Linked DNA regions of Mus musculus. The protein of the gene in region 2 interacts with the protein of the main gene of each other region in a pairwise test. Links are inferred from orthologs where the notes say so. Each region holds a gene or a part of one and is shown on either strand. Other genes may lie near its edges.

Region 1 (2,534 bases), on a different chromosome or scaffold from region 2:
CTGCCTCTGTTCCCTTTGCTGTGAATACAGGTGATACACCATGCCCAGCAACCCTGAAATGTTCAAGGAGACAACTCCTTTTTTTAAAGAGGCAAACACCAACAACAAAAAATAAAAAATAAAAGTTTAGAGCTAGGGCAAATCTATCCCCACCAGAGATAACCTTAAAGAGAGTAACCTAGGGGCTGGAGAGATGGCTCAGCGGTTAAGAGCACTGACTGCTCTTCCAGAGGTCCAATCCCAGTTCAAATCCCAGCAACCACATGGTGGCTCACAACCGCCGGTAATGAAATCTGATACCCTCATCTGGTGTGTCTGAAGTCAGCTACAGTGTACTTAAGATATAATAAATAAATCTTTAAAAAAACAAACAAACAAAAAAACCAGTAATCTAAAAGACAGTTTACCCTAATTTCAAGCAAACATCAACCAAATTACTTCATTACCACGATCCTGTTCAGAACAAGTTGCTGCTTACCTTGGCATATTTCTCTGCTTCCTCTCTTATGTCTTTGGGAACAATTTCATGTCTTCCTTTAGTTACTATAAAATCAAACCATATATTAAATATGAGGATTATAATTTGTAATACTGTGAACTCGCCCTAATCTTCAAGTGCATAGAGATCATTTCCTGTTGCCTCCTCCCCCAAATAATCATTATTCACAGGTGAACTCACTTAAAAATAACAGTAAGCTTGACTTATAAATCGGTTTTTTTTTTTGTTTTTTTTTTTCTTTTTTGTTTTTTTGAGACAGGGTTTCTCTGTATAGCCCTGGCTGTCCTGGAACTCACTCTGTAGACCAGGCTGGCCTCGAACTCAGAAATCCGCCTGCCTCTGCCTCTGCCTCTGCCTCCCAGGTGCTGGATTAAAGGTGTGTGCCACCATGCCCGGCAAGAATTCTTTCATTAACTTGTCGTAAAGTGCAAATAAATTCTAGAACAATAAATGTACAAATGTAACTTACATTCACCAACCCAGCTGAGCTCCAGTTCAAAAGCTTTATCCTTAACTTCATCGTGTACTATGTAAATTCTACAACAGAAAAGAAATTAACACAAAATAAACACAAGTTCTATAAACAGTGAGTACAAAGTAGACGTTGTGTGCCTGGTATTTATAAAATGACATACTCTCCAGCCTAGTTCAACCTTAGAAAGACAGATTAGGAGCTGGAGAGATGCTCAGTTGTAAGGTCACTTGGCTTTGGTTCTCAGCATACACAATGCTGACTTAGAACCCACATCTAACCCCACCACTCCTCTCCCCCAATCCAAAACCCTCTCCAGTCTCTTACAGTCAGACACAGTACATGCAAGCAAACTACTTATACACAGAAAATAAAAGTTTTATTTTCCTTAAAATGGGAAATTACACTGGAATTGAGACACTCTTTACAAATACTGATATACTTCTATTTCTCAAGTTGTTTATTTTGAAGCCGGGCGTGGTGGCGCACGCCTTTAATCACAGCACTCGGGAGGCAGAGGCAGGCGGATTTCTGAGTTCGAGGCCAGCCTGGTCTACAGAGTTCCAGGACAGCCAGGACTACACAGAGAAACCCTGTCTCGAACCCCCCCCCCCCCAAATAAAAAAAAAGTTGTTTATTTTGATAATGGTTTAAGGCTTCAAATAAAAGACATCTCAGAAAGAAAACAGATTCAAATTAGAAAGACCATATGCCTTTTCATGATACCCATTTTTTCTATTTGTAAACATATTTCAGAAACAAACCAGTAATTTAAACCATCTGTCCAGATAGTGTCAATGCCACTCAAACTGGTTCTTATGGTGTAATACATTACAAACAAGAAGGCACACAAGCAGTTACAGTAACAGTAAACAACTGAGCTTCAGCTGGCAGCAATGGCTCATGACTGTAATCCCAGGAGGTTAAGGCAGGACACTCCTGAATCTGAGGCTGTCCTCAAAATGACAAAAACCTCCCTATGATAGAAAAACAAAGCTTTCTGTTTCTTTTCTTACTTTTAGAGGCTCTGCTAAAGCCTTGCTGTATAGTACAAGAGAGCACCTTAGTTACAAGGATGAAAAGATGGCTTTCTGAAGAGGAACAAGTACTACCAATCACAAACTATGAAAGGTGCCAAAGGGTTGACTTCCAACAGGAACTTCAAAGACTATTTCAGCAACAGACCCTGGATTGTACCATACTCAAACTATTTAAAGGAATTACTTTCACTTTCCAATGTAATATGGTTCTTAACTGACTTAAAAAAGGAAGACTGCTTCATAACAGAAGGTAAATGAAGAGAGATGAGTCTTGGTAAGAATGGGAATAGTAAGAAACAAAATCCCTTTGTGAGAGATTATAGGCACCATCTTTTATTATGATAGAACCCAGATTTTTTTCCTTGTTTGTATTATCAAATGCAAAACCTGAAAGATACTATTACATAAAGAACCATATTCAGCAATACTGTAGTTTGTGTAGTTTACCTGAAAAGGCAGCTAGAAAGCGAGTACTCTACACAATATTTTAACAGCAAGTGTCTGCATTCTTTAAAATTAATTT
Region 2 (3,657 bases):
TGGCGAGTCTCCTCTCTCCTCCTTGTTCTTCCTTACCCACCTTCTTCCTCTCTCATGGTCCTCCTCAGACACCAACCCCGGGAAACTGAAACCCCACCTACCTCTCTTCTGCCCAGATCTAGGCTGTCAGCATCTTTATTCAACTAATAATAGTTTTAAATGACAGAGCAAGGTCAGATAGCATTACTTGGTGTATGTGAGGATTTTCTCTGGTCCCTGAGGGCAACCAGGGTCAGTATTTAGCCTTACAATACATAGCAACAAACCAAACCTCAACACACCGGTCTCTTGCTTTGCTGAGAAAACAGGAGCTCCAAGTTCAGAGAGAGACCACAGAGGACATCCAGTGACCTCCTCTGGCTGCTGCGCACACATGTGAACACATACCGACTCGCACATAACTAAATACAGAAATCATAAAATAATCTTTAACCTCCAACGCAAGTGCCCATGGGCACACATAGCTCACACACACGGATCATCCATAAAATTCCATCTCCGCCAGGTGCAGTGGCCAAACCTTTAATCCCAGCACTCAGGAGGCAGAGGCAGGCGGATTTCTGAGTTCAAGGCCAGCCTGGTCTACAAATTGATTTCCAGGACAGCCAGGGCTATACAGAGAAACCCTGTCTCAGAAAAAAACAAAAACAAAACAAAAAACACCATCTCTGAACAGTTGTGATGGTGGGGTAGGGATGATATCATCCTCATCTCTAGGTAGGTGACAGCTGGTCCTTATTTGATAGCACCTAGGGCCAGCCGAGTCATCTTCCTTGCCCAACCCCCTTCCTTGCACATACCCCCCACCCTCCTGCCCGGCCCATACCGTGCTGAAGTTGGGGAAGAGACTGAGCGGGGTGGTGCCATTGAGGTGGAAGGCGAGCAAATGCTTCAGGTCCAGCGGGGGTTGCAGAGGCCGGGCGGGCAAAGTCAGGGAGGCCAACAAGGGGCTGGGGGAGCCGGAGGCCGGACCTGCTGCAGAAGGAAGAAGGGCAAGGTCTGAAATGAGGAGCCACGGGGCTCTCTCCCACCTCTGCTGCCAGAACAAAGGGCCAAGACAGGAACTTCCCGCTCCCTCTTCATAACGGCACCATCCCAACTCCATTGTGGAAGCAGAGTCCGGGAGTCCACAGCTCAAGTCTCCTAAGCAGAAGAGTGACCCTTTCTTACTGACAAGGTCAGCACTGTGGCCCAAATAGACACCAAAGGGAGTCCAGCCAAGAGAGGGGTCAGAGGAGTCAGGGTTGACATACACAAAACCATGGTGACAGGGTGACAGCATGACACACTACTTGTCCCAGTTGATCCCAAAGCACCAAACTCAGGGAGTGCGGGGAAAGGCCAACTCTTTTTGGTCTCACTAACTGTCCCTTTCTCACTTCCGGTTTCATGCCACTCACAGAAGGAATGAAAAGAAACCCAAAGCATAGGACTTGGGAGATGGCACATTGGTCAGAGCACTGGCCAGTCTACAGGACCTGGGTCTGATTCCCAGCACCCACATGTTAGCTCACAACTGTAACTCCAGTTACAGGGGACCCAATGTCAGCTTCTGACTTCTGCTGGCATCAGGCACACACGTGGTGCCCATATATGTCTGCACTTATATGTATCAAGTAAATCTTTAAGAGTCCCCCAAAGCCAGGCAGTGGTGGCGCACGCCTTTAATCCCAGCCCTTGGGAGGCAGATTTCTGAATTCAAGGCCAGCCTGGTCTACAAAGTGAGTTCCAGGACAGCCAGGGCTATACAGAGAACCCTGTCTTGAAAAAACCAAAACCAAACCAAACCAAACCAAACCAAACCAAACCAAAAGTCCCACAAAATTAAGAAGATAGAAAGAAACCCACAGCATTCTGAACAGTTGGGTTCCCAGTGCTGGTGGGGTACCTGCTGTTTCTCTGAGGATGCACCCCATCCAGCATCCAGGGTGACACCCCCAAGCCAGTCCTCAGGACCCACGGGAACAACACTGTGGTTTTGTAGTCTTTGGTCTTAACAGTGTGAAGTAAAGGCAGAAAGGGGCTGGAAACCGACAAACCAGATTTCAAGGGAGGAAAGGGAAAAATAAAAGCAGAAAGCAAGCTGGGCGGTGGTGGCGCTCGCCTTTAAACCCAGCACTTGGGAGGCAGAGGCAGGTGGATTTCTGAGTTCGAGGCCAGCCTGGTCTACAGAGTGAGTTCCAGGACAGCCAGGGCTACTCAGAGAAACCCTGTCTCGAAAAACAAACAAACAAACAAACAAAAAAGCAGAAAGCAACCCAGGTTACTGGAGACTTACTTGGGTCCTGTAACTGCCAAACCAAAAGAAGTGCCTTTCAATTCTTGGGTGTTAACCCCCTGAAACACCAGATGGGTTTATTTAGCATCTGTAGATGTAATGCCTATAATCACAGCCAGATACAGGAAAGCGGGCAGGTGGCAGATGGTAGGGGGAGCGTGGAGGATGGGAGGGAGGGGGAGCTCACTGAGGGTGAGCTCTCACCTATCTGTTCACAGACAGTGTTGTGTTATGTCAGGAGCAAGCACTCTGTCATTTGGTTTACCATCTCCTAGGGAAAAAGATTTTTTTGAGACAGGGTTTCTTCTGTAGCCCTGGCTGACCTGGAACTTACTCTGTAGACCAGGCTGGCCTCAAACTCAGAAATCCGCCTGCCTCTGCCTCCCAAGTGCTGGGATTAAAGGCATGTGTGTGCCACCACTGCCCGGCTAGGCCCAACCTTCTTTAATGGAAACTGGTAACCCAAGGGAAGGATCCAGAAAGGGAAAGTCTGAAAGGCCAGAAGGGGCGGGTAGATAGGGTGGTAGTGGTGGGGATGCGGGATAGGCAGCGCTGCCTAGATCTTACCTAGCATTTCAACCTACTTGCCCAGGCTCTTTCCTCATAGGCCAGGGATCTGGTTTGGTGATGAGTAGGTGAAGAGAAGAGCAGTTAGTAGGTCAGCTTGGCTGTAGTATAATTAAGGCTGCGTATCTCACCCTTCAATTTTCATGGCCCCTCGGTTAGCTAAGGTCAGGGGAGGCCACTCTCAGGAGAAGTGCCACCCCAGAGGTCCCTCCCGCACCCACTCTCTGAGAACTCCACGCCAATGCAGAGTCAAACTCATGCAGCTGGAGGAGAGGGGTAGCATCCACCGCGATCTTCACCACCTGCGGCCCGCCACGACTCCTCTTTGTCCCCACGACCGCAGCTCGTGGGTGCAGCCCACCTTGACCAGCAGCTCCGCACCCACGAGCAGCACTAAGGTCAGGGTGGCAAGGACGCGATTGTCGGGGAAAGAGTTCCTGCAGCTCCGAATGCGCGCCGGCAGAGGCGCCCGAGGCTCCAAGAACGCCAAGTCCCCCAGCGCGCTGGCGCACCATACCGGTCGCGCACAGTTCCTCAGGTGCCTGCGGGTAGCTGCAGAGATGGATGGCCAACACGGCCATCGCATCCTGCGAGGGTCCCGGGAAGGAGTCCCGCAGTCCCCTTCGCACGGCGTCCGGGAAAGCCTTTTGGTGGCGCTCCAAGCCTCGCAGCGTAGCCTCTGAGTACCCCAAGCAGCTCCACACTATAGTAGGTGCAGCGTTCGTCCGCGTGCTTTGGAGCCGGACTCGGAGATCGCCAGTTCCTTCGGGAAGCCATGGAGCCGCGCGCGACCGGAGCCGAGCTGCCATCAC

What was found.
Region 1: the proteins of Zfp385c (region 2) and Psma3 interact in a two-hybrid assay, tested with the Homo sapiens proteins (2 studies listed by BioGRID). The two-hybrid records come from large-scale screens. The link is inferred for Mus musculus from reciprocal best matches to the Homo sapiens genes ZNF385C and PSMA3.

The regions. Positions count from the first base shown.
Region 1 is NC_000078.6:70,991,515-70,994,048, reverse strand, and holds part of Psma3 (proteasome subunit alpha type-3), read right to left. Parts: intron 2,435-2,534; exon of another isoform or gene 1,994-2,434; intron 1,037-1,993; coding exon 969-1,036; intron 544-968; coding exon 479-543; intron 1-478. UniProt on the Homo sapiens protein: Component of the 20S core proteasome complex involved in the proteolytic degradation of most intracellular proteins. This complex plays numerous essential roles within the cell by associating with different regulatory particles.
Region 2 is NC_000077.6:100,636,918-100,640,574, forward strand, and holds part of Zfp385c (zinc finger protein 385C), read right to left. Parts: exon of another isoform or gene 2,853-3,657; coding exon of another isoform or gene 2,846-2,852; intron 976-2,845; coding exon 827-975; intron 1-826.